Linked DNA regions of Astyanax mexicanus. The protein of the gene in region 1 binds, or shares a complex with, the protein of each later gene. Links are inferred from orthologs where the notes say so. Each region holds a gene or a part of one and is shown in the gene's direction. Other genes may lie near its edges. The genes, in order: cnot10, cnot7, cnot8 and cnot11.

Evidence for each region.
Region 2: cnot10 (region 1) and cnot7 share a complex: the UniProt entries of both Homo sapiens proteins name them as parts of the CCR4-NOT complex. The link is inferred for Astyanax mexicanus from reciprocal best matches to the Homo sapiens genes CNOT10 and CNOT7.
Region 3: cnot10 (region 1) and cnot8 share a complex: the UniProt entries of both Homo sapiens proteins name them as parts of the CCR4-NOT complex. The link is inferred for Astyanax mexicanus from reciprocal best matches to the Homo sapiens genes CNOT10 and CNOT8.
Region 4: cnot10 (region 1) and cnot11 share a complex: the UniProt entries of both Homo sapiens proteins name them as parts of the CCR4-NOT complex. The link is inferred for Astyanax mexicanus from reciprocal best matches to the Homo sapiens genes CNOT10 and CNOT11.

Annotation. Positions count from the first base shown.
Region 1 is NC_064413.1:37,975,342-37,982,814, reverse strand, and holds the start of cnot10 (CCR4-NOT transcription complex subunit 10), read left to right. Parts: upstream 1-4,473; 5' UTR 4,474-4,664; coding exon 4,665-4,683; intron 4,684-6,487; coding exon 6,488-6,582; intron 6,583-6,868; coding exon 6,869-7,030; intron 7,031-7,131; coding exon 7,132-7,282; intron 7,283-7,473. UniProt on the Homo sapiens protein: Component of the CCR4-NOT complex which is one of the major cellular mRNA deadenylases and is linked to various cellular processes including bulk mRNA degradation, miRNA-mediated repression, translational repression during translational initiation and general transcription regulation.
Region 2 is NC_064417.1:45,486,984-45,493,932, forward strand, and holds the start of cnot7 (CCR4-NOT transcription complex subunit 7), read left to right. Parts: upstream 1-3,929; 5' UTR 3,930-4,006; intron 4,007-4,037; exon of another isoform or gene 4,038-4,261; intron 4,262-4,574; exon of another isoform or gene 4,575-4,836; intron 4,837-4,863; exon of another isoform or gene 4,864-6,019; 5' UTR 6,020-6,113; coding exon 6,114-6,230; intron 6,231-6,319; coding exon 6,320-6,513; intron 6,514-6,949. Other genes in the region: mtmr7a (myotubularin-related protein 7a), read left to right, coding at 671-1,033. UniProt on the Homo sapiens protein: Has 3'-5' poly(A) exoribonuclease activity for synthetic poly(A) RNA substrate. Its function seems to be partially redundant with that of CNOT8.
Region 3 is NC_064424.1:17,742,752-17,750,162, forward strand, and holds the start of cnot8 (CCR4-NOT transcription complex subunit 8), read left to right. Parts: upstream 1-4,409; 5' UTR 4,410-4,540; intron 4,541-5,298; 5' UTR 5,299-5,375; coding exon 5,376-5,492; intron 5,493-6,737; coding exon 6,738-6,931; intron 6,932-7,203; coding exon 7,204-7,365; intron 7,366-7,411. UniProt on the Homo sapiens protein: Has 3'-5' poly(A) exoribonuclease activity for synthetic poly(A) RNA substrate. Its function seems to be partially redundant with that of CNOT7.
Region 4 is NC_064418.1:327,367-334,246, reverse strand, and holds the start of cnot11 (CCR4-NOT transcription complex subunit 11), read left to right. Parts: upstream 1-3,860; 5' UTR 3,861-4,070; intron 4,071-5,097; 5' UTR 5,098-5,124; coding exon 5,125-5,443; intron 5,444-5,754; coding exon 5,755-5,919; intron 5,920-6,208; coding exon 6,209-6,361; intron 6,362-6,486; coding exon 6,487-6,689; intron 6,690-6,880. Other genes in the region: rpl31 (60S ribosomal protein L31), read right to left, coding at 442-554, 1,081-1,206, 1,384-1,490. UniProt on the Homo sapiens protein: Component of the CCR4-NOT complex which is one of the major cellular mRNA deadenylases and is linked to various cellular processes including bulk mRNA degradation, miRNA-mediated repression, translational repression during translational initiation and general transcription regulation.

The DNA of each region.
Region 1 (7,473 bases):
TAGGCTGTAATGCATGATTTCATGACATTTCCCACCACGCAGCAGCAGTTCCACAAGAAATGGACTTTAGACTGGAGGATGAACAATATACTTTTACACATAAAGTATTTAGATATAACATCAAGCTTTACGAAAATTCACTTATTAAAACTGCCTCAACTATTTTATTAGATCAGGTTGCTCTTACTGATTATGTCTAATGAAAAGACACAAATCTATGAGATGCAGATTCCGCACATCTTAAATGCCACAATTCTTATTGTCTAACCAGAGTATAACGAAGATAAAGGAGCCTGTATCACCAAATTACTCTGTAACGCTGATCCACATTCTCCTCCTCCTGGTTTATCAAATCACTCAACTGCTCCTACACTTTAGGCAATCAGTGATTTACACAGACAGAAGCTGTGGCAGTTGAGTGATGGTGTTCGTCTCCAAGCAGCTGTGTATTTAACAGAACACTCTCTGCTAAAGGCCAGGGATCAGCTCTATAACTTAATTTGTTTCTGCTCTTTCTCAGTGCCCTCTGAGCCCAATAAAAGCCTTTCAATGACTCCATAACGACTTCCTCGTCTACACAAGTAACAAAGCCTAATTGTCTTGATTGTATATTACAAACAGTAAAGACACAGCCCCCCACCACAACCCTCATGCCTACATTTAAACAGTTAAGAGCTAGTCTGGCATTACACAACACAGTGCTATTGAATTTATATGTGTTTAGATCAAACATAAAACTTAAAATGTCAGGTCTATTAAAATGTAATCTTCCTTGGCCTAAAAGGTATATAAGGATCATTGAGGACAAGAACAGCGCACTGTTCCAACATATGCAAGTGTTTAAACATAAATTAATTGACACTAGCTGAACTTTTCAGGTGTGAGCCACGTTCAACTTGAGCAGCCTTGTGACTCCATGAAAGAGGAAATCAGAAAAAACACTGGACTTAAGAATACAAAAAAAATAATAATAATAAATAAAAACTTAAATCATAAGACCAAAACAGTGTTAGAAAATAAGAACATTACAAATGATGTTTATTCTCTATTATATCACCCTTGTAGCATGGAACAGGTACTGTCTGAGAATGTATTGGCATTGTATTAATTCTAATGTGTATCATGTTAACAATTCATGCTTCCTAAGTATGGACACTGAGTAAAAGAAATAATGTAGTAAGCCCTATTTTTTCACTACAGAGACAATCATTAAAACATGTAGTTTAAATATTTTAATGATTGACCTGAATATTCAGGTTATTTGTACTATAGAATTCAAACAGATTGCATAAATGGACTTGCCATGTCTGAGGAGGATATAGAACTACTTTTTAAATGTATAATAAAGAACCATCTTCAAAAGGTTTTATTAGTGTTTATTAGTGTTCTGCTTAAATCCCCACCTCACATGTTGCTACCTTATAAAATCCTGAAAGAAATAAATGTGCTTGCTGCTCTTAATCACACTGGAAATGTTTATTGCACCAGCAGAGGCCTTTCATGCATCATATTATCAAAGCGAATAAACAAGCCAAGTAATCATCTGTTTGGTCTTTTGGTAGTTTAGAACCTTTTGGTCTGTCTGAATTCTGCCACGGCCAGGCTAACTTTTCTAAAAATGACGGAGGATAATGAGTCATATTGTCGGAATGCTCCAATTTTCTGCAGGCCTGGAGAGATGGATCTGTCATAGTTACGAAGCCTCAGAATAACCAGACACGCTCCCAGGCAATCAATCATCCCTCTTCCTCTCAAACTTCTCTCTCTCTTTTTCGCTCCCTCCTGGTGTCAATTAGTGAGACATTTTCAAGCTCTCTAGGTACTAGGCTCAATTAGACTAATTGAAGTCAAAGAGGAAAATAAACACTGCGGTAGAGAGTGTCTCTCGCAGGAGGACGTGGCAGCAGTGTTTTTTTACACTGAGAGACACACACTTTTCTTTTAACACAGGGCTCCTGTGGAGTGACACATACCTGATGCTTGTAGATGGCTGCCCTTTGTGCCATCAGTACCTGTGTTAAAGGTGGTGTTCATTGTATTTTATGTTTACATACTTACTGGCTGATTTGTAGGCACCTAAACTTTACATTACTATCAATTAATATCCATTGCTGTTAAAACTTTACAATGGTTTAAATTATTAAATATTACTAAATCTAAATTCATTCATTGGAAAATATATATTATTCAGACTGTATAGACATGTCTTCAATTACACTGACAAAATTATCCTTGTAATGCTTTTGTAGAGTAACCTATGTTGTTCTATGTTTGTGACAGAAATATGAAACTTGAAATAGTATCCTGACATAGTACTTGACCTAATTTTGACATAGTATCCTAAATCAAATTTGTTTTATCCCTGTTTTGATATATACGAGCATAAATCCAGATTTAACAAAATACGACCGCCAGCTAATTAAGAAGTATGAAACACAAAAACAACATTGTTTTTTTCCCCTTTAGATGGTCTAAACATGCTGCACACAAACTCTCTAAACTCTTCTCAGTACAGCGCTGGCATCTGGCCAGAGTGGGTATTAAACTCCCAAATCTAAAGGTGGGCATTATTTTACGAAGATATGTGGTCTTGCCAGAGGTGGAAAAAGTACTGAAAAATTGTAATTAAGTAAAAGTACTGTTACTTTGCTAAAATTCTACTCAAGTAAAAGTAAAAGTACCCATCTAAAAATCTACTTGAGTAAAAGTAAACAGTACTCAATTTAAAATGTACTTTGAGTAAAAGTTACATAGTTACCTATTTTAAAAACTACTTTAAAATTACAAACAGCTCAGGGCTTGAATTAAACCACTCTGTTGGGTCATCTGCCTATCTTGGTGGAGACAGAACCAAGATATGAGCCAGATGTTAAAAAAATCCAGAGTTTAACCTAAATGTATAGGACCATGCTCGCCTCAATAGATGTATTTTCCTATATACAGGATATGAACTATTTCTTAAGCCATTTGAGAAAACAGAATGCCTACACAAATCAGTACACTTATGCTTGGTTTATGTAATATTTTTGTATCTAACTGTTCTTCACCTGTCTAGAAACAGGTTTACTACAGTCTGTAATTATAGAATTATATAAATGCTCCTATTTGATAAGAATAGCTGACAAAATGGAAAATAAGGTGTATTTAAAGTTTTCTTTAAAAAAAACTGCCTAATGGTTAACTAAGTACATTTATTGCAGGCTCCACATCTCTTCTTTAAATTACATAACTATATAATAAAATATTCACATTCAGACAAAAACTATAAGCTAGTTAGCTAGTTATATCCAGTGTACTAGGTTAGCATTGTTTTGCAGAGTGACAGTGCTAGACTTGTTAGCTATAATGTTTATTAGGGTTTATGAATGTATAAATTGAATTATGATTTACATTTAGGGTAAAATTGTGGCCATTTAAGTTAAATGTTCTAGCTAAGGCTCTGACTTGCTAGCTTAACAGGTAACATTTAACCTAAGGTTAGCTAACTACTATCTACCAATCGTGGAACTTAGTTTAGTGAATGAAAGCTATTACAGTTACGTTTTATTTTGACTTGGGTATAATAAATTAGCTTAGCTTAAAAGTCACACTCTTGATATAGGCCATTATCCTAAAGTCGTAAAGTCAAATGATTTGAACAAATGAGCGTGCAGGCAATTTTTAAAACAGGTGGTCAAAGAGCATCATGAGGAGATGATGTAGGCAAAAAAATCAAGTTTGCCAAAAATAGAGAATTAAGTCTGGGCAGAGATAGTGAGGAAACATTTACAAAGCATATTTTTCTACATTTTGTATTCTATTAAAAAATATCAAGAACTATCAGTGTGGTAGAAAAATAAACTGTTGATGGGGACAAAAGTTGTGAGTCTGATAAATCACAGTAATGATATACACATTATTTTTAATGTAATATGTAATATGTATTGTATGTAAATTCCACTAGAAGTATGATAGGAAATAAACTTAAAGATAATCTAGATGCAGTCTTGCAAATAATGATATCCAGTCTTTGCAAAATCTTATCCTGTGACTAAAAGGTCTGACTAGTCTTTAGATGTGAGAGGGTGTCAGAATTTAGTCTGTTAAAAGTCTTTTGACTAACTACTTGACTAACTACTTCTAACCTCATTTCCTTCTTCTCCTCCTCTACTCCTATATCCCATTATTTCCCTTTAATCTCCTTTAGGCCCTGTCTAAAGTTGTTTTTACCTTTAACTTCTATTACTTTTGTACTTCACTATTGTCTGCCAAATGTAATGTAATGCTTTGAGAGTCTTTTCAAAGTCGTGTAGTGTATGGACAGCAAAACTCCTACCAGGAAGAGAAGGACCGTCAGGCTGTTTGTGTTTGGGGGTAAACTCGGATCTGTCGACATCTAGAGTTCACTCTTAGAGTCTTCTTCCATCCTATCATTCTCTCCAAATGATCACTCAGTGTTTCTCCTCCTCCACACCGGCGGATGGCGGACTGCAGCAGCTTGTGCTCTAATTCTCATTACAAAAATCCTGGATGAAGCGAAAGCAGAGCAGTAGCAGCGGCTACGCACTGATGAACCCTGTGCTGGATCTATATATAAGTTAGATAAACGGAGAGGATCTGTGTGTGAGAGTCTGATCACTGGAATTAACACGCGTTAATTCATACCAGAGAATCACTGGCAGGACATGGCTGAGAGCGGCTCAGGTAAGCTGGGTTTATTTATCAGCACCCAGGGAAAGGGTAACTTATCTGTCTACCGCAGTTAGCTAACTTAGCTAGACTGCTCGCTGAATATTTACCTGTCCCTGTCAGACTAGTAGATCAGCGCTGTTGTGAAATTTAACCACCAGTTTCTCTTCTGTATTCAGTTAAAGTCAGCAGCAGCACAATCAGCTGTGAACAGTATAAACACTGCAGCACACAGAGAGGGCAGCTAGCAAGGCTAGGCTAAGCTAAGCCAACATGCTAACTAGCTAGCTAACCTAAATAGCTAGGTACCATAGCAACCTTGCACAGTAGCTAAATTAACAGTTTCAGTCCTTTAGCAGTGGACGAGAAGTAGAATGTAAAGTTTCATATGTTTATTCCGCTATAATATAACGATTTGTGACCGAACTAGTTAGCTTAGCTAAGTATTTGAGAGTATCGTCAGTATCGCTAGTTAGCTAACCCCCTAACCTGACTCTCACTCATTTTGCCCTTCACAAAATCGTTAAAAGCGCTTTATTTTAAGTATCTGCATTAAAATGAACTAAATTATTAAATCATTTACTTGTGAAATGAATATAAGCTAAATATGTAAATGTGTAGAGATTTAATCGAATTTAATCGAGGCTAAGTCTTGCATTCCTATGCGGGTTTTCCCGTCCACCTTAAATTCTCCTGCAGAGCAGAGGTTTCGCCTGTAGGTGGCGCTGATTTCACCATTAATTAAAGTGAAATCAGTCTAAAACTGATTTATTAATTTATTAAAAAATATATTATTATCGTTTTAATCAGCTATCTAAATACTAAATATGTAGTATTATATGAACATATAATTTTTGTTTTACACTTTTTAGTCTTAGTTTAGGTTATTACGGTTTTGCAAAATGTATAATCACATAAGAAAAAAAAAAGATAAAAAAGAAAGAAAAATAGAATAAACACAAGTCCTGCATTTAAAGAAATCACATATAGACTGAAAAGGTATAGGTTGAAGCTTTAGCTTAATTTGCCTACCCTATTTAATTAACAAATACACATATTTTTTTACAGTGTAGAGACCACGCTTTACACCACTGACAAACATTTATTTCATAAAATCTTCTTTTTTTTTATATCTGTCCTTCAATTCAATTCAGTTCAATTTTATTTATATAGCGCTTTTTACAACAAAGGTTGTCACAAAGCCGCTTTACAGGAAAAACAGGTCCACGCCTCTTATGAGCAGCACCACAGAGATGCCAATTTTATGGTGACACAGTGGCAAGGAAAAACTCCTGTCCTTGCTCTCCATCCTTTAAACATAAGTATTCCACCAAGTTCAAACTTTTTATAGATATAATGGTCAGTTTTTAAGGTACAGAAATTGTGCAAAATGTTAGTGCTGTATGTCTGAGCAATAAGCAAATGATTTATAATTTATTAAAATAATATTTTTGTATTTAAATAATACTTTGGGTAAGGTGATGAAGCTACTACTACAACTACTTCTAGTGCTACTACTGCTAATAATAACATTATTATTAGTATTAGTGGTGGTACTTGTCTTGAGATACTGCATACAAGGTATATGGTATTTTCTCTATGCAGCAGTAAATCTTAAATTTAAACATGTATTGATGTATCAAAAAGCCTATGGTGAACTCGACAGTGCAGAGCTAGAAGCAGCAAACGACACAACAAACCTGTACAAGGAGAACATGTTTAATCATTAGCTCTTAAGCATTTAGAGGTTTTAGTTCTGCTGTGTCTGTTTAAGTCAAACATTCCAATTAACTGCTTTTAAATTTTATTCTTTTTCAAGACCAAGTTGGTGACATGAAACATGACAACGCTTCTTCCCCTGGAATTTCAGACCAAGAGAAGGAGATGGCCACGAATGCTTTTGAAGCATTTACGGTATTGAACTTTTACATTTATATTTAACACTCATTCCTGCTTAAAAATACAGCTCAAAAACACCTGGTAATCCAGAAAAAAACATACTGCATGCCACTTAAGAGCTAGTAAACAAGCTAGCCTACCAGCATAGGATATGCTGTTTTTTTTTTCTTTCTTTCCCCTCAGCTGGTCTTGAGGTGGATTTTTATGTTTGATATTTTTAGCAGGGATTCCTTACATATGTTGTGAAGTATTACCTGTACTTTGTTCATTACTCTTTACTGTATTGCTCTTGTCCCCTTAGGCCGGCAACTACGATGATTCCTTAAAACAACTCGAAAGTCTTCAGGAACTGAACAAGGAGGACTATAAGATAGCCCTGAACAAAGCTGTTGCTGAGTTCTACAAAAGTGGGCAAGCAACCACTGGCACGTTGAAGCAGACGTTAATGACAATAAAAAATCAGGTGAGGAAATACTTTTACATTTTCAATTAAAAATGTTCAAAAACAGGGCCTTGTTTTTCTTAAGCCTGTTTTCTGATGGTTTTCTATCTTTTTATTTGTAGGTTCATACTGCGGTGGAAGACATTGATGGTTTAGATGATGTAGAAAACAGCATCCTCTACTACAATCAAGCCATCATTCACTACCACATGCGGCAGTACTCTGAAGCCATATCTATTGGGGAAAAGCTCTACCAGTTCCTGGAACCGTTTGGTATGTTTCTGAATTTTGATTTAATTTCTCAAACAAAAAACTAACATTATTTGTTCTAGGAAACTTTGTTCCTGTTTGTGTGTATTAGTGTCCAGTAATTCATATTAAGAGTATAAGAATACAGTTGAAAAAGAAAGAAGTCAAAAGAAAACTAAGTATACAGAATAAAACACTTGTACATTCCTGATAGC
Region 2 (6,949 bases), on another chromosome or scaffold:
AAAAAAAAGCAGAGCTTTCAGACCTTTATATTTATATTCATTACGTTTTATTAAGAGTTCAGAAATCAGTATTTGGTGGAATAACCCTGGTTTTTAATCATAGTTATTATGCATCTTGGCATGTTCTCCTCCACCAGTCTTACACACTGCTTTTGGATAACTTTATGCCTTTACTCCTGGTGTAAAAATTCAAGCAGTTCAGTTTGGTTTGATGGCTTGTGATCATCCATCTTCCTCTTGATTATATTCCAGAGGTTTTAAGTTTTTACAGAGCTGTATTTAGTTATGGTAGTATATTCTTTACAATAATAATTGGACAACAGCAGTGAGGGTTTCAGTGCAGAGGTAACAGACCCCACACATATTTGGACTGCTGTCTCTGTTGCCATTATAATAAAAGGCTTGTGTCGCAACCACTCAGTATTTCTAAGGACATGACCAAACATATATTTTGTTATGGTAATATATTCTTAAAAATACTTATACATTTTTCAGAATTTTGCCATACCATATCATACCAAGAAAATTGTTCTCACAAAAATACACTAAAATATTGTAATATCATGTTATGGCCTTATCGTCCACCCCTAAAGGGAATTCAGTATTTTTTCTTAGGTTGCAGTGATTTGAAGCTTTTTGTTAAACGACTGAATTGTGTGTCTTGTTGCAGAAACTCGCTGCCCTGGGTAAAGAGCAGGTGAACGGTGTGTGTGTGAATAAGCATACAGTTAATCAGAGCCAGGCTCTCTGGGCTCAGCCAGCACACATAAGCCTGGCCAACACGCCTCAGGATTACAACGAAGGAATTTTAGGGAGCAGTCCTAAAGATTGGTCCCTCCAGCAGAAGGAGACTGAGAGCACGGGGCTCGGCCTGTTTGGAGTCACTCCAAAAACCTCAGACCCCGACAACAGCGATCAGGAGTCCGGAGTGGCCGACTTCAGCGGTCACTCCTCCAGCGGCGGGGATTCATTTCCGAGTGAAGACAGTGTAAAGGACGCTGATTTAGATGAAGCTGCTTTTAATACTGTCTAAAAACGTGATCTATAATAAATGAAAGCCATAGCATTCCCATTGGGGCCTGTGCAATCATGCTACATACTACATGCTCCATTTCAAATGCATAAACATGCATAATCAAATGTATTTATTGTTGCCGGTGTAACAAAGGGAAGTGTTGATTTATTTATTACAATATTTATGACATTATTTCATTTTGTATGTGCATGAAATGATTTGCAGTTGTAAACCCGCATGTCACAGCGTAGCAACATGCATTTTAGTGATGTGTGACACAGATGTGTGATATGTGTGGCAGTGTAAACAGAAAAAACACACTGAATCTGATATTATTATTTCCAAGATCAGAATTCATGCAATTTTTACATAAAGGAAAAGGAAAAAAGAGCTGTGAGGACAAAGGAAAATGGACAACAGCATTGAGTAAGGGGTTTCAGTTGTGAGGACAAGACCTCACAAAAGTTTGGACTGATGTCTCTGTTCCCATAATACTAAACACGTGTCACAACCTCCCAGTCTTTCAAAGGACATTCCCAATGAGCCAAAGAGTTTCAATGGTTCTTTAAGTGAACATTCCCTAGTTAGAAAGAACAGCACAAGTACAATTATGTCAGTCTGCAACTGTGCTGTGTTGGTGAATCTGTGCTCACTGCAGCCTCAGCTTTCTGTTCTTGGCTGACAAAAGTGGAAATATTTTTCGTTTTACAGAATGGTTATCTGGGTTATTCTTAATAACTCAATAACTGGCAAAGTAATATCGAATGGGTGCATTAATTGACAAAGTGGCGAACAACAAATTGAGTTAAAATTTTCCGTATGCAAATTAATTTCAACAAGATAAAGCGATATTCACAATAGCCTGACAATTTTTTTCATAAGCCCTATCCAGACGGGATTCGTTTTTCAGGGGGTCCTGGGGTAATTTTCTCTTTTGATTTTTTTCTCTGTGATTTTTTCCCCCCGGAATGACTGTATGTGGTTTTCTCAGACGTCCTCTGATACAATTACAGTCAGAATTACCTGTTTTTGCTGAACTCCGGTAATTTTAGTCCCGTCCGGATGCACATCTCTGAGTTTCGTCACCTCTCATTTAATAAACTAGTTGAGTATAAGTGTGAAATATTTTTTCACAGATGTCCCCTGAGAAGCGAATCCCGTCCAGATAGGTCTATACATGCTCTTCTATCTGAACATTTGGTTCTGACCAGCATTTCATTCTTATTTTTTTACAATGTTTTTCTGAACAGGAAAGAAAATCATAGTTGTTTCTCATTTCCCCTTGTTATGATGCAAATCTGCACATTTACAGGGACAGTCTGAAGAAAAATAAAATAAAGCGAGAGAGAAATTAGCAGATACTGTTGGTTTCTCTGGTTGGTTGGTCAGTTGATACGTAGCTTGCTAGATTAGCCAGCATGTTAACAAACTATACTAACACCTGTTAACACCCACACACAACAACACAAGCTGCCTCAAACACACCCAAAAGAGACCAACTTGGGGCAGCGTGAGCGACTTGTTCTTTGCCAGTGTGAATACAGGATTATGGTAGCCAGGGTTATGGTAGCCTTTCTGTCGTCTTGAACCATCTTGAACCAGCATTCTCTGTTGACCTCTCTCATCAGTTTTTTTTTTTTTTTTCTCACAGCTCATAATCTATGATCATAGGCCAAAGATGCTTCACTTCACACCATAACAACCTACAGTCTGAACACACACTATAAAAGTATTACTGAGAACAAAAGAATAATAAATAATAAAGACAATATATGAGCAGCATATTATAAAGCACACTAGATGGTCATTGTGGAAACTGCTGGAACTTATCTTCACACTGGTTTATTCAGATGATGTTGGGCATTAATTCTCTCATATACAGTAATTGAAAATATGCATGAAAAAATGCAGTGTAAGCATTATATACATTTCCCTGTGGATGCTGAGAGGTAACTCTCTGTTCTCACACTTACATTACTAGTGCAATTGTACCTAAACAATAAATAAAAATAAATAAAGTTTACATGTGACCTCACCCTCTTTGGTTAGGCATTTGTTTATTTCTATTATATATATATTGGGAAACTGCAAACATATACACTACCAGTCAAAAGTTTTAGAACACCCCCATATTTTCCCTGTATTTTTGCCATTTAAACTGGCAGGGCCTTTAAGAAAAACAAATTAACAAATATACATATAAATATATATATATTGCAAAAGCATATTTTTAAAAAAAAATTTACCAGACAATTGATTGGTTAACAGCTCACAGCTCTTATTAACTGAGCTTTGAAAATGTCAATTTAGAAATCCTTTGTCTGTAGTAAAGTCATTATTTTGAGATACTATGTCATTATGTTTAAATACTACGTTGTAATTATGAGCTGCTACCTTTTTATTTTGAGAAACTAAGTCATTACTTTGAGATACTAGCATATTTTCATATAAACACGTAGTATCTCTTAATTGTGACTTAATATTTTAAAATAAAAACATAGAATGTTAAAATAAAGACTTAATATCTGAAAATAATGACTTAATAATTCAAAATAATGACTTAGGATCAAACATTATAAACATGATGTCACCTTAGGGGCTCCGTACCTTTTTCGCAGCCCCTGATGTATGGAAGCCCATTCCCGCCACCTAAACAAATGGGCTTCCACACTGATGTGATGTGACATTATGTAAAAAATATATATATATTAAAAAAAATAAAATAAAATGTGTGGCCCTAAGAGGTGGCCATGGCTTCTTACAGAGTGGGAACAGAATAATTAAGTCCTGGCAATATCCTCTCCAGGCACTCCCTTAATTAACTAGGGTTGTAGCCACGCAATAGGATCTCGTTCTAACGCTTTAATAAGACGTGGCCACGCATTATTATTATATATATATTTTTCCATCCTAAAGCTGCTGCACCGTTTTATACCCCTGTTTGAAGCCGCGCCGCTGCTGGACTGACTCCAGACTCCGTGACGCTCCAAGGTCAGTGGCGCTCGTATCCCGGTGTCGTCACGCGGTGCGCGGCGGCGGCGGCGGCGGGTTGTAATGGAGCCCGAGGGGCGGCAGCTGGCTGCTGATGTCGGGGTTAGATTAATAAACTGTGTGGCGGGTTTGGTGGAGCTGAGACCCCAGTGTTGGTGAGAGTGTGAGCGGGACAGCCGCGTGCTGCTGAAGCAGCCAGTGCATATGAGTGTACTATAATAGAGGAGAGAGAGAAAGAGAGAGGGAGAGAGGGAGGTAAGTAAGTGACTGAGAGAGAGAGAGAGAGAGAGAGAGAGAGAGAGAGAGAGAGAGAGAGAGAGAGAGAGAGAGAGAGAGAGAGAGAGAGAGAGGGGGAGAGCTGGAGAAGACCTGCAGCACAAAGTTAAGGGGCTACAGCTAGTTAGCTAGCTGCTGTGTGGGGCTAACAGCTCCTATTAGGATTCGCTAGCATGCAGGAGGGAGCCTCGTTAGCTTAGTTTAGCTTAGCAAGCCGGTGTCTAACGTGACAGATATAATATACCAACACCAGGCTGTCCTGCTGCACAGCTTTCTGACTGGCAGGCAGGTGTCAGGTTCTGTCGGCTGTTTGTTTGTGGGTGTAGTTTGGTGTGGCAGCTAGCCTAGCCTAGCCTGTGGCTGTTAGCTTAGCTAGGTTAGCTGCCTTTAGGTAACAGTTAGTCACCTGGTTTGTTTGGGGGCGGTAGCTTATCTTTGTGTTAACTAGCTGTTTAAATATGTGTTTGTTAGCTCACTAGCTTTTTGGTAGCTTTGTTCTGTGGTCATAATAATCTGGTTTAGGTTGATATGAGGTAGATAAATTAAGCTACAAGGTAAGTTAGCTAACTAGTTAGTTAACTAGCTAGATAACTATTTAACTGGTTAGTTTTTCGTTTGTTAAATGACTAACTAGTTAGTTAATCTAACTATTTGACTATTAACCTAACTCATTTTTAGTAGCTAGGCTTTTATTATTAGCTAGCTGTTTAAACCTATATAAGTTAGCTGTTTAAGTAACTTATGTGTATGTTAGATGGCTAGATTAGATAGCCTTGTTTTGTGTTAGTTAGCAAACAAAAGTAACTGCTTTCTGGTTAGACAACACAGACCATAATGATCTGATTTTAGGTTGGTCCGAGGTAGATAGATTCAGCTGCAAGGTTAACTTAAATTGTCAGCTAGTTAATTAACTAGTTGGTTACTAAACTACCTAGCAGGTAAGCCATACCATACTTGGCTAACCAACCTAGTAAACTTAATTCTTATTTAAGTTGCAGTAAAGTAGGGCTAGGCGATTTGATAAACACATTACTTTAGTTATGTCACTGTATTTACAAATAAGCCCTTTTTTCAATACACAATATTTATCTTGATATAATCACATAATCCCAGTAAAAATTTGGGATGCACCAATATGGGAACTTTGGGTAACTAAGCTTTGTGTTTAGATCCAATTATTAGCTAGCTGTTTAAATGAGGTACTAGATTCATTAGCCAGGTACTAGGTTCAGATGAGGTCATGGTATGGCTTACGTGCTAGCTAGTTAGGTTAATTTACTAGCTAGTTATTTAGCAAAGAAAAATAACTGCTTTCTTGCTATGGTATGAAGTAGATAAATTCAGCTGCAAGTTAGTTACCTAACTAACAGACTTACTAACTACATAACTAGCTAATTAACTAGTTAGTTAACCTAAATGACTAGGTAGTTAGTTGACTATACAGTTAACTAACTAACTCGTTAACTAGTTTATAACCCTAAATGACTAGCTAGTTAATTGACTACATGGTTAGCTAACTAACTTACCAACTAGTTAGTTAACCTAAGGGCACTAAAGGGCACCCAGGTCATTTGTTGTGTCGCATTCTGTGCTATAAATGTGAATGGACAGATAGAGTATTCCGCTCACTATTTCTTTTGACTGAAGGTTGTATCTAGCATATTGTAAGTTAGCATTCAGTGTCACACTTTTGCTCATTTTCTAAAAGTCTAATATATGTCCTCCTTTTTTGCACAGGTGTAAATAAAGAATTAGACCCAAAATTCTACGAAATTGTCCCCAAGGGAGCATTTGTTTCATTTTTTGATGCCTTCCATTTGAAAGTGGCACTATGCCCGCAGCCACTGTGGATCATAGCCAAAGAATATGTGAGGTGTGGGCTAGTAACCTGGATGAGGAGCTGAAGAGGATTCGGCAGGTCATCCGAAAATACAGTTACATTGCAATGGTGAGCCTTGTTTTGTTTCGCCATATACCATTTACTTAAAATCTGCAGTGTTTCAGTTAATCTGATTTGTTAATTTTCTGTGTTTGTAGGACACAGAGTTTCCAGGTGTAGTTGCGAGGCCGATTGGAGAGTTTAGAAGCAATGCAGACTATCAGTACCAGTTACTGCGGTGTAACGTTGATTTGTTAAAGATTATCCAGCTTGGCCTTACCTTTATGAATGAACAAGGGGAGTATCCCCCAGGAACTTCAACATGGCAGTTTAACTTCAAATTTAACCTCACGTAAGTGCAGTATTTCTTGTGTGAATATACTACACTTTAATTCAATGTCTTGTCATATTGCCAAGAGTATTGGTATTGTGAAAATACCCTACCAATATCATGATAATATTGAGGTAAAGATGTGAACAGAAAAAGTGTAAAACAAACTGAAATATGGTTTATACTTTAGATTCTTCAAAGTAACACTTTTTGCTTTGATGCATGCTTTCCCCACTCTTGGCATTATTCTCTCAGTCAGCTTCATGAGGTAGAGCCTTGAATGGTTCTCCAACTGTCTTAAAGGAGTTGCTAGAGGTGCTGAGCTCTTGATAACTGCTTTTTACTTCCCTCTGTGCTCCAACTCGTCCCAAACCACTTGGGTAGTATATCTGGTTCTTATATCAGGTGTTTGAGAAGGATGAACACTTTTGTTTTGTCTAGTAATAGTTATTAATCA
Region 3 (7,411 bases), on another chromosome or scaffold:
GCAGCAGCAGAGCTGGAGTTGAGAGCTCGATGCTTCAGAGCTCTCAGAGCCTTTCACTCGCGTTCCCCTGCACACTACACTTTAATAATGCATAGTGAGCTTGTTACGTAACTCTGTGGATCTGTGTGTTTATCCTTTCCGACTCGAGTCCCTCTGCTGCAAACTGAATTCTCACACTGAATTAATTCAGATCATTTCAGCTCAGTCCAGTCCAGTAGTAGTCATTCAGTTGTGCTTATTGGAGTGATTGGATAGGTATATGTATAGCCCTTAAAAAAATTGAGAGATCACTTCTTTTTCTGAATCAGTTTCTCTGATTTTGCTATTTATAGGTATATATTTGAGTAAAAATGAACATTGTTGCTTTATTCTATAAACTACGGACAACATTTCTCCCACATTCCTAATAAAAATATTGTCATTTAGAGCATTTATATGCAGAAAATGGGAAATGGCTGAAATAACCAAGATGATGCAGAGCTTTCAGACCTCAAATAATGCTAAGAAAACAAGTTCATAAAAATCAATATTTGGTGGAATAACCCTGGTTTTTGATCAAAATTTAATGCAGCTTGGAATGTTCTCCTCCACCAGTCTTACACACTGCTTTTGGATAACTTTATGCCACTCCTGTTAACAAATTTAAGCAGTTCTGCTTGGTTTGATGGCTGTGAGCATCCATCTTCCTGTTGATTATATTCCAGAGGTTTTTAATTTGGTAAAATCGAAGAAACTCAAAAGTTTTAGGTGGTCTCTTATTTTTTTTTTCCAGAGCTGTATATACCCAACTGGCAATAATAAGTAGGGATAGTCTGGAGGACAACTTGTATAAAGCACTACTCAGTTAATTTGTGTACATGTAACTACACTACATGGAATTTAGGCTCCCCCTGCTGGTCCATCCTTAGCATTTACACTAACTGATGCCCCTTTTTTCTTTCTATATTTTTTTTGGCTGTTGCCAGCAATAGGTTCCTCCTGTCTCCTTCCAGTTCTGAATTCCAAACAACCACTAATGCCTTTGTAATAATAATAATAATAATAATACTCATAATAAGCACTCGACATGCGGAATACTTTTTAAAACTACAGCCACACTCCTATATACTCCCTATTTGTACTTGGAAACTTCATGACTCAGCACCAGCCAGCTTATTTAGAAATTCCAACAAGACAAATCCTAAAGCCTTCAGTTTAAGTCCCAGCATTGCACACACGTGCATGTGGCGCCTGGTGGTAATATTCTCCGCCCAGGGACGGGTGCGTGTGTTCAGAACCCGTTTCTGCTCTCCTTGGGTGACCTTTTTCTTGCAGAAAGAACTGGACACGTGCCTTTGACCCCTGTGAACTCCAACTAAATTAGTTTCCCCACTATACTGTTGTTTCCTTTGCCTTGCACCTTGAGATATAAAAGAAAAGACAAAGACAAAACCAGCAAATACTGTCCCAGTCAGCACCTTTCCATTCAGAACAAGGCCCATTGGAAAGAATTGAGTTGAGTCTGAAAGCTTTACATTTAACCAAATATCTCTAATGCCTCTAGTTTGAGCTTTTTTATTTAAAAAAACAAACAAACTAATAAATAATGAGCACCAGCATTCTCAATCATCTCCCAGCTCAGGCTTATGAGAGTTCAGAGAGTAAGGCCCAGACTTCTGGGAAGTTTTTCTTTTCTTTTTTTTCTAAATCCATTCTCGCTTGGCATTCTGTTTTGCCCCTTTTTTTCACACAAGCTGCGTTCCAAATTCAAGGCTGTGTTCCGTGGTGGGGTGCATTTTTTTTTTAGCCACTATACGTCATAGAAGGCTCCTTTGTATACAGCTAAGATATGCACCTGACATTCAGGATGATTTGAAGGACACAACTGATGTATCCTTCATTATAGCCAACAGTCACCCACAAATCAATGCATACATTCAGCAAAAATTGCAAAAATGGTGGGAAATATAGACTCTTGAGCAGAGTTAGCTTTAAATTCAGAAAGTAATTCTTTAGAAAACACTCCTACTGAGGATCTACCCTACTTTGACTGCAGCCTATAGTTTGGAACGCAGCTACAGATTGTAGATTAGACTAAGTTACTGATTGCTCTAGGCTCATTTGTGTAGGCTTCTCCAGATCCACTGGTTCAGTACACGAAGTTACTACCACTGCACACCTGGCCCAGGGCCTTTAAGCTACGGTACAAACGAAAGCATGAAACTGAAGCCTTTTGGAAAAATCTTAATCCTTTACGTATTTTTGTTTTGTGGAATGTCCGTCTGTTTGAAGAGTTTGGAGACGAATGTGAGGATAGAAATGTTTCCCTTTAAACAACCTGCACTGTTGTTAGCAGCTGAATGTGAATTGTTACATGGAAACACTACACTCTAGTTTTCTGTAGTGAACTGGAAGAAGAACAGCACACGGTTAAAATAAATAAAGTGGCAGCCTGTGGAGGATGAGCGACCCTTCCGATCGACTAGGTGCTCTTTTTACTCTCTGATCCAAGGCTCTGACACGTCGCTTATCTAACACTCTGTATGTGTTTTTATGTTCTGTTGACTGTGCGGTCATTGTAATCATGTGCAAATCATGTAGGACTCGCTTTAGATAACCATGAGATTAAACAAGAAAAAAAAAAGAGAAACAAATCACCATCAGTAACTGATGCTGGTAGTGATGACTGATTTGTCGTTCATGTAGACTTACAATAGGATTCTTGTTTTCAGAGCGTATTTTTGATTCTTTTTAAATCGGACGTTTCAGTGCTGATGGAAGAAGAACTTGGTCTTTCCACAGAGGCGGATTGGAGAAAATACAGCATGTATTTATTGCACTTTTGTGATTTGGGTGTGCTGTTTTTCTTTTCTTGTGAGACTTACGAAAGCTGTGAATTTTATCATCAACACTGTACTGTCAACGAAAATTGTAAATATGTCACCAGCACAAGAATATGTTTTGTAGTTTCACAACAAATATAAAAAAAAGTTCTTTTCTTCTAATCCCCAGTCTGTCTGTCTTTTTTTTCCTTGAGTGCGAGTTTCCTGAGTTTACATCCAGATTAAGCATCTTAATAGAAGTATACATACACTAAATATAGTATTGTCCCATGGATGTAAAGAATACTGCTCCTGCACTAAATGTGGATATGAATCAGTTGTCTATTTCCACAGACATTTCTATCCAGATGCCACCAGTCACAATAATTATCCCCTATTGCATTGTCCACTGTGGGTGGTAATGCCTTCTATGATATTTTCCCAGCACACCTGCAACATTGCAAAACTTCAGAAATGCAATAAACTGTCATCGATTATCAGGCCCTGTATGTTGCCTTGCCATGAGCACACTGACCAGTGTTTGTCCCTCACAATATAACACCTCACAGACAGAAACAACACAGAAATAACATTTTATGATCAGTTTACATACTGCTCTCTTAAGTCTTTTGTCCGTGCATGTCAGCGTATAAAAATAAATGACATCTCATTAATTGAATTCATGATTTTTTTAATTCAGTCCGGTCCCATTGCCACAGATGTAGCAAACCTGGGTATTTGAGCCACCACTGCATATTCATCCATAATAATAACTATGGATTTAGAATACTATCTTACAAAAGGATAAATTATGTTTAATTCATACATCAGGAGTTATAGTAGCTAAGTAGCTAAAAAAAAATAACCCAATGTCTAGATAAGACCTGTTTAAAAGAAGAGCTAAGGAGCATGCCTAATGGACAGGCCTTAACTTTGGTCTTGTGTTATCAGTGTAACCTGAGATATATTTTTCAATAAACAACATGTCTCCAGGTTTACATAATTTGTCCAAAAAAAGCTTTGGGAAAAAATAAGAGACCATTTAAAAAGTTTATTTGATTTTACCAAATTGAAAACCATAATCAAGAGGAAGATGGGCATCACAAGTCATCAAACCAATCTGAACTGCTTGAATTTTTGCAACAGGAGTGGCATAAAGTTATGTAAAAGCAGTGTGTAAAACTGGTGGAGAACATGCCAAGACGCATGAAAACTGTGAACCAGGGTTATTCGACCAAATATTGATTTCTGAACTCAAAACTTTATGAATATAATTATTATTATTATTTTATTAATATTGTATTCTTTTTCTAATTGTGGATATTTTTTGCTTTGTTATTAATCTGAAGCCCAAATACTAAATGTGACAAAATAATAGTAGCTAAATTATAAAACCAATTTTAATCATATGGTTGTATTAGGAATAAAAAGCAATAATTATAAATTAAAAAAGTTATTTGTATTTGAAAAGTCAAGTGTATTTTTTTATATTTATATATATTTGTATTAATTTATTTAAGCGTATTTTCATTTTTATATTAATATTTGTTTGTGTTTATTTATTTAGACGTATTTTAATTGTTATATTTATATATGTTTTATTATTTATTTATTTATTTAAATGTATTTTGTGTGTTTCCGTGCTCTTAAGGCTTCCTGCTCCCGCAGCCCGTGTTCAGTGCTGGAGCGCTAGTAGCTGCTTTATCCGCCGAGCCTCAGCGCAGCAGAACTCCTGCCAGGTAAGCGAGCCGGACAGCGGGCTTCACACCTGCTCTACCTGCGGTTAACTTCAGGTTCCTGTTTTCTGGAGTTTATATTATTATCTGTTCGCGGTATTGTTTAGTGTGTGTTTGTGTATTGAAGCGTATCTAGGCAGCTAGTTAGCTTAGCTCACTTGTTTGCTAACGCTAGCTTAGCTACAGCAAACTTAGGCAGTCTGTGGTGTGAAATAGTATTAGTGGGCTAGAAGCTAAGCTAAGCTAATCAGAGGTGCGTTAGCTTGTTGGCTAGAGGGGGTAGAGTGTTTCATAACAGTAGGTTAGTTAGGTTAGCTTAGCTCCTTGTATTTGCCAGTATCTTAGCTTTTATCCTGTAGCCATATAATTAAAATTATATTTAAATACGTAGTTACTCTTTGTTCCTACCTGGCTAGAGCTACAGTACAAGCTAGCTAGGTAGCTAACTACGTAGCTTGACTAGCTAGCTAGGTTAGCTAGCTTCGTGAGCTATGTGAGCTGCCTCTTCAGTGTGTTGAACTATATTGTTTTTTTTTGTGGGTAAAACGTATTAATTTCTCAGCACCGTGTTGTTCACACAGTTTATGCACTTGCATAAAGGCAAAGCCAGCTTTCTCTAACCTACTTTCACACTTTTAAGTAGTGGTTTTAGCGTTAGGTAGCTAGATTATTTTAACAAGCTGTATTAGCTAACAGGGCATCTATCTAGCTTTGCTATGTTGTTTGAGCTTGGAGCTGAACTCAGGTGCGTTTCTTTCCAGAGTTCCAGTTTGCTTCTACCTGCCTGTGGCCGCTTTGGACTCGCCTGGGTGCTTGGTTGCTTCCTCAGCCTGCAACAATGCCAGCCGCACTTGCAGATACTAGTCAAATTATCTGCGAGGTCTGGGCCAGCAACGTGGAAGAGGAGATGAGGAAGATACGACAGATCATTCAAAATTACAACTACATCGCTATGGTATGTAATTTTTTCTCTGTGTGTTTTTTTTTTTAATAAATTCTGTATTTTGTTGTAAATCACACAGGCCTACTCAGTGTGGGCTCCATTACACTATAATGCTGTTCCTGTTTTGGTTGAAAGTGGTCATTGTAGCTTTTAAAAATCTTCTGGTTACAACAGGTTGTAAGTTTGAGTTTGTCCATACAGTAGACGACTTTGAAAAGACTTTTAACAGACTAAAGTCTGACCCCTCTCACATCTAAAGATAACTCTCACACTGTTTACTCAAAAACTGAGATTTTACAAGATCTGGGGATCACTATCTGCAAGACTGCAACTAGATTTTTTCTGAGATCATTTCCCATCAGGCTTCTGGTGGAGTTCACATACAATACCTATTACATATTAAGTTATAGATAATGTGTGTATCAATACTGTGGTTTATCAGAGACTCACAACTTTGTTTTAGATAGAATTAATGCGGTAAAGAACGTAATTCTTGCAAAATGTTTATTTATTGAACTTGTTTGTATCAAAAATAACACTGCACGATAAGATGAAGTAGTGCAAAATAAAACAATTTAAAATACAGTGTGCAGTTTTAAAGGGTTTAAAATACTGTACATATTAAAGTAAGATATATGTTTGTCGCTTTGATAAATGAAAGTCGCTTTGGACAAAAGCGGCTGCCAAATGTAATGTAGTGTAATGTAATGTAATGTTTGTAAGTATATTATAAAAAATATGTGTGTGTATGTATGTATGTGTGTGTGTGTCTGTGTGTGTGTTTGTGTGTGTGTTTGTGTGTGTGTGTGTTTGTGTGTGTGTCTGTGTGTGTGTGTGTGTGTGTGTGTGTGTGTGTGTGTGTGTGTGTGTGTGTGTATATATGTGTATATGTATGTATGTATAAAAATGTACGTAAAATATTCTTGACTTGCGGCTTCCCCTAGCTCTCCTGTTGGTTGTTGACATTGTTCACGTCACTATTTGCGTGAGCCAAGTCTAAGATAATATTAAACACGGTTGATTTTATCTGAGCACCAGAATGCAAAAAAGACTGACTAAAACTTTCAACTCTAACCACCTTACACTGAACGATTGAGATGACGAAATCGCAACTCGACTCTAGCAAAACTCTAATGATTTTATCACGACTCTGGGAATTTGTATGCGACAGTGAAATGAGGTCGACATAAGTTAGAGTTGCATAAAAGAATGGACGTTCATCCTAAAACCTGGTTTAATTTCTCTCTTCTTCACCAGGACACAGAGTTTCCCGGAGTGGTGGTCCGACCCATCGGAGAATTCCGCAGCACAGTGGACTACCAGTATCAGCTCCTGCGGTGTAATGTGGATCTGCTGAAAATCATTCAGCTTGGTCTAACTTTCATGAATGAAGATGGCGACTATCCACCCGGAACAACAACTTGGCAGTTCAACTTTAAATTCAATTTAACGTAAGTGTTGGTTATCCTTGTTTTGAGGTGACTTAGTTCAGGTCAATACAGGGCCTGTATTGTAAAGTCCTATTTAGAGAGCTTGGAGGGGAGTAAGCCTGGGATGCCAGATTTCACTGCTGAATCCTTACTGATTATGTCTGGGCTCCATGTTTGAGTTAAATGTTGCTAATCAGATCATAAACAGCCACAGCAGCCTAGTTATTAGGTGGAGGAATTTAAAGTTTGGATAAACCATTACACTAATTACCTCTCTCTGTTTTTTTAAATAGAGAAGACATGTACTCTCAGGACTCAATAGATCTTCTGCAGAACTCTGGTCTTCAGTTTAAGAAGCATGAGGAAGAGGGAATCGACACGCTGTACTTTGCAGAGCTCCTGATGACTTCAGGCTTAGTTCTGTGTGAAAATGTCAAGTGGCTCTCCTTTCATAGGTGACGAACATGAAGGAATTCTTCTTCTCAAATCTTTTATTTTTTT
Region 4 (6,880 bases), on another chromosome or scaffold:
GGTTTTAGCTTTAATGCAATCTAAAATGTCCAGCAGGTTGCACACTACAGCTAATCTAATTTTACTATTTATCAACAGTACTAATCTTAAGAGCCTGAGACTTGTGTCTTTTCCACACAATGCTATATCCACACAGTCTGAATAAACAAACAGCTGAAAAAAACATCTGCATTAGTGAGTTCTGGAGATTTAACAAAAATAAATCCTAAATCCCTCCACAAAAAGCATGGCGTTATCTCCTGCTGAAATCAAACATGCATCAAACCTCACCAGTAAAAACTGCCTTACAGCAGGATTTCTACTTTTATCTAGATAACTTAATCCTCTTCAATAAAAGTGATTTAATTAACGACTCCTCAACTTTTGGTGCACACTTTGCTTTAAAATCTACACAGGCTGGAGTTAACGCAGTCTGAGATGTTCTCCACAGCTGAATCTCACCTTTGTACGTGGTGACTGGAACGTATGTGACGAGGGTGTACAGTTTGTTGGGAGAATCTTCGTCTTCATTACGTTTCCTGGAGAGACGCACGCGCATGCGGTACGGGACGTTCCTGAAAGGACAAACAAAATCACTGAATTATACTGAGAATAGCATTAACAAAATTACACCACACTCCTACCAGTGTTTTATTTATCACCATTCTGGAATTTCCCAGAATTTGGGCTGATTACATTTAAGAAAGGTGTTTTTTTTTGTGACAGACTACAGGAATATGTATAAATTTATAATTTATAAATATGCATATCAGCATAAAAACACATGTAACATCATACAGCATTGACCAAAATTCCCACATCGTGCATCTCCATTTATTTGTTGTTCTACAGCTTCCAACCAGAGGACAGATTCCCTGTTTTCATTCTGGTTTCTCTGGAGGCTTCTTCATGAGTTAAAGGAACTGTCCTGACGTCGTCACCAATTTACCAAACAAAAACTGGACTCAGTTCAACACTTTCAACCTCTTTTGGCACTGGTAGAGCAACACGCTGAACACAATCTATAACAGTTAACACACAGCTGTTTTCCCCACCCCTGATCTCTATCCCAATTTTGATGATTTAATAGGAGGTGGTTACCTGACTCCTTTGGCCCAAACTGCCTTGTTCAGACGTGTGTCGATGCGGACGTCTGGGGTGCCCATCTCCTTCATGGCGAACTTTCTGATTTCTTTAATAGCACGAGGTGCCCTCTTCTTGAAAGAGCTGTGGTGAAAAAAAAAACAGTTCTTTTAGAACATGTGCAGCACGTACAGAACTGTATGATGCTACAGATTCATCTTCATCTAATGCCTTTAAATCACTTACAAACTCAAACACCTCTTACTGCCTACTGACAGCGTCTAAAACCCATTAAACAGGACATTACGTCACGTTACTCACATGCCATGAATGCGTTTGTGGACGTTGATGGTGTACTCCCTGGTCACCACCTCGTTGATGGCAGAACGCCCCTTCTTTTTCTCTCCTCCTTTCTTTAGTGGTGCCATCTGTAACACATGAATCATTTATAAATATTAAATAACGTGCACTGGTTCAGCTTGTACATCAGCCACCTTATTATACTCAATATTCTCCCACTATGTTTAATAACGCAGCTTCTTTTTATGACCCATTGACTTAATGAACTTGTTTAGCTGCATTATCAGGATGCTCTTCAGATATGCAATATTCACTTAAACGAAGACTAAAGAAATGCACTACTAACCCCAATTATACTTAACTATAAAAAATAAGAAAGGATCACTAAAAATGGAAAAACTTTAGTTTCTTAGTACTTATTCAAGACCTGCTTGGTCTCTTCACTAAGTGCTGCACTTTATATTGTTATTGAACAAAAGTTATCATTTTACTTGTTGTGTCCATTAAAGATTTCACATTAATACTTGCTCAACTGACATTAAACTAAACATATTAAACTGAATATCTGTTAAATGCAACTGAACTTTTAATACTCACTGCTAACATTTGCCAAAAACTTAGGATATTGGATTAGGGTTATGTGCATTATTAGGTTAAGCATCTACAAAGCATCAATAATGGACCATCAATGGACCCCCAAATGTTAAAGTTAGTACAGATGTGAGCCACCAAATGCATGAAATGTTTACTTTTAGACTCAAAGCAGATCAGAATGCACAACACTATCCTAATCAGGAACCACTGTGCTGTAATTTGTAAAGCATTTTTTTATGTTCCATTTCTACACTGTTAAATCATGCAATACTAGCATCTCTTAGGATATATGTGACTCACTCTTACTTTTAGTTCTTGTTAACTATCTTGTTAACTATCTGTTGTTCCGACAGTTACCTAAATTAAAGCAGCAAATTTTAAACTCTGAATATAAATACTGCGGATAAGGAAAAGGAACAAACCACATTTTTGGAGAACTGTCCCTCACACGGACCCGTCACTTTTTACTCATTTCACAGCCAATAACGCATCCTTTAACCAGAGTGAGTTAACTCACTAACTTAACGCGAATTCTACATTTAAACTGAATTTTAATTAAGACAGCTTTTCTCCAATATAAACCCAAAACAACACGTTTATCTCCGTCCGCAGCGTTCACTCGCCACTAGCTAACAGCTAACCGGCTACACAACTATCCTTCACATTATCGGCGCAAACACAACTTTTTCCCACCCAAAACCGCCCCAAATATAACTGTAGTGATACTTTAGCTTTGTTAGAACTGTAATATATGAATTTGCGGCAGATTAAGTGTTTAATCTGCGCGGATGGAGCTGGATTAAGAGCAGAGCTCGGCTCTGAGGTACTCACTGTTCAGGACGAGCCTCGGAAAGGAAGGAGAACGGGCTTCTGGGTAATACAAACTCTACATCCGGGTCACCGCTCCACAGCTATAATCACATTTTAAACACTTTAATCTTCATAATATCGATAAAAATATAATAATACATTATAACATTAAACTGGATGAATATTCTGAACCCGAAGATTCAAAGTTTGTATTTGTATTTAGTGTTTAAGGGCTGAATAATAGTTGACTAAAACAATCCAGACTACAAGTCCCATAATGCCCTACGACACAACGTCTAATCTGCCGGGAGTTTCATTGTTTTTTTTATTTAACTATTAAATGTACAGGTGTGAATGTATTATTTTCAATACTTTTCAATCTAAAATAATAGAAAAACAATAATTAAATAAAAATAAACATCACATACATTATTACAATAATTAATAATAATTCATTAATAAACATCACCGATATTAATACACATAGCTGATATAAATTAATGTAACACAAATATATATTTTTAAACTCACAGTTCTTTGAAAATAACCTTCAATAGTTTGATCAATAGCCTGACACCTTGACAGGTAACATTAGTTCTCAGGTAATCAACGTGTCCCATCAGTGTCAGGATGGCCGAGCGGTCTAAGGCGCCAGACTCAAGGTTCAGACCTTCCTGTAATCAGAGGATTCTGGTCTCCGAATGGAGGCGTGGGTTCAAATCCCACTTCTGACATAACTTTTCCAGAATTTCCCCATGAGGATAAATAAAGAGTATATATATATAAATATATTACAATATAATATAGTTTGACTGATTGTTTAAGATAATGAGTTTTTAACGTCGAATTAATTGCTTGTTTATTATACAGTTGTTTTAGCCAATATAATATTCCATATGTCCATTTAAAGAACAAATCACACTAATGGATTAACAGTTGATTAATAAAAAAACTAAATATGAATCCCTCTACACTATAAAAATGAAAATAAAATCAGTAAATAAATATATCAGCTCATTTAAGTTTAAACGTATATATATATTTATGTCTTGGTTCAGACTCCGGGTCAGTAGGCGGCGGTACTGCAGCTCCAGCCGGTCTGTGTCGCGCGGTGACCCGGAGAGAGAAGAAGACCCGTCCCCGGGTTTGGAAGTGTTGGGAGTTATTTTGTTGTTTATGGACAGTTTTTTACTCTTTTTGAGAGATTTATCTTTATTTCTGATGTTTATTCCTGTTTTAGTTTTATAAATGAAGATCAGAGAGATCTCAGAAAGCTCCAGGTCTTAATGAACCCCGGGTTTAAGGTAAGTTATTCAGGGAGGGTTAGATTAGCGATTTCATACAGATTCGGTCTCAAAATCGATTTAATTTTATTTTCCGTAAAACAGGGATAATTTATTAATTGTTAGTTTAATGTGTTTAATTTTAATACAAATGCATGAGTTTATAAAATGCACACATATGGGTAACGTATATTTCTTATCTAAATCTTAAACAGTGATGTTTCCTGTATTGGGCAGATTATGGTTATCTATCGTTAGATTAATATTCTGTCTGTAATTTAGTTATATAATGACGCTAAATAGCTGATTACTGTGGGCATAATTTAAGTTAAGCACCAAAAACTAACATAGTTTAACCCCTTCAGTTCTCTCTGACAGGATACCGGTAGATGTGTGACTGGTGAACTAGTTAACTATTCCGATAGGACTAACAATTATTTCGATTATAGATTAATCATTGCCGATTATTTTCCGATTAATCGATTATTGATTTGATAAAATGTTATTTAACCCTAACTGCATTAGTTTTTATCTATAATAGGATAATGGCTAAATAATGGTTAGAAAATAAAAGTATTAACCTAACACTAATCAAGTTACACTTTGCTTATATAACCGAACACCGTGGTTGGTGTGGTGCAGTGGATAACACAACCCACTGCCAGTAAGCTACCATCTGGTCTGGGTGACTTCAGAATGCTGCTCTACACCAATAAGAGTCCTTGGGCTAGACTCCTAAACTAACACTACATTGGTCCACCTCTGTAACAGAAATAACCACTGACTGTATATTAATTCAGGTTTATTCCAATAGTATATAAACTGTCACTTCTGAGATGTATATTTTGTATTAAGCCCAACAATACATAAACTTAAAAACTAAAAACAACTTTCAAACAGATGGATCAGTTATAATGATGATAATTTGTTAATAATTTGATTATTCCTTTGTTTATTATTATTTTTTATCTTTTTTTTTACTTAAAATTATAGCAATAATTATAACATCAATAATTTTATTGTTTTATTTCTTGTTTTATTGTAACAGTGGTGATCGATTTGCCAGAGTGAAATCATGACCCTCGCCCCCAAAGAGCTGTCCAACCTGCTGGGCATCATCTCGGAGGAGGCGTGTGGAAACACCTTCGAGAGCCTCTCTAATGCCTTCCATCACTGCTTCGGGAAGGCTGAGCACTTCCGGGTCGGCTCGGTTCTGGTGATGCTGCTCCAGCAGCCAGATCTGCTGCCCAGTTCTCCTCAGCGTCTCACTGCTCTGTACCTGCTGTGGGAGATGTACCGCACCGAGCCACTCGCTGCGAACCCGTTTGCTGCGGTCTTTGCTCATCTTCTTAATCCATCTGTTTCTGGTGAGGAGCAGGAGAAACCTCTGTCAGGTAGGATTCAGATTTATACTGAGTTTAAGGAGCTGCACTTTCTGATTTACTGTTTGAGAACACACTGTAACACAGTATAGAGAGATACAGCCCATGTATGTGATCACAGGATAAACCAACAAACTAATATTTGTTAACTACCTCATTAACCTGCAGTTTTAGGTGTGAATACTATTGATAAATGAAGTATTGATTAAAGAGTATGGAGTACTTTGTGCAGCTGGAGCTGTAAAAGCTAACCTGCGTGATTTGTTTTGGGAAACACTGTAGTAAGTCATTTACACAATGTTAAATATAATTATTTTTTTCAGGTTTCCTCCCACCCATCACACTGCCGGAGAAGTTTTTCCTGTCTCAGCTGATGCTCGCTCCTCCGCGGGAACTGTTTAAGAAGACGCCGCGGCAGGTTTCCTGCATGGACGTGGGCACGGCACCTCAGGCCATCGACATTAGCGGCCTGCAGCTCGCTCTCGCTGGTAAAAATACATGGTTATAAACCCTGTAGTAATTAAAGCCTTATTGTTTTGTATTATACATACTCCTGACAGTAGAATAAGTCACCTATATAAAAGTCAAGCAAAAATATAAATTAGAATAAAAAATACTGTGATGTACCATAAAACTGCCAGAATCTTGAAAAGATTTAAGTAGTGCACCAACGTAGTGTATGTTGGTCAAAAATTGTTATGTATAAACAGTATATTAGAAGTCTTTTTATTCTAATAACTGTTGTATAAAATTCAACAAAAATGTTGTGTGTTCCAGAGCGCCAGTCTGAGCTTCCTACTCAGAGTAAAGCCAGTTTTCCCAGCCTGCTCAGCGACCCTGACCCCGACTCCTCCAACTCTGGCTTTGACAGCTCTGTGGCCAATCAGATTATAGAGTCTCTGGTCACTGGACCACGCCCTCCACTGGAGAGTGAGTATCGCAGGATCCTGTAAAGTAGTTTAATTTAAGTTGGAGGCAGTTTTATTTTATGAATAATAAAATAATGCATTCTGAAGGATGAATTCTGTAAGACGTGTCTCTGCTCTTCCTCTCAGGTCACTTTCGTCCCGAGTTCATCCGGCCGGCTCCTCCGCTGCTGGTGTGCGAGGACGAGCTGGCGTGGCTGAACCCGTGCGAGCCGGAGCACCGCGTGCAGTGGGACCGATCCATGTGTGTGCGGAACGGCACGGGCGTGGAGATCAAGCGCATCATGGCCAAAGCTTTTAAAAGCCCTCTGTCTGCAGCACAGCAAACGCAGGTAATGCAGCAGTATCCCTGCACACTACTGCATGTTCATATTCTGACCTAAAACGTAAGGGCATGCTTAGTTTTTAGAACTGGTTCAAATCCCGGTCATGCAGCTTGCCATCAGCTGCTGGAGTCCTGAGAGAGCACAGTTGTCCTTGCTCTCTCTCTGGGTGGGTACAGTACAGTAGATGGCACTCTCCC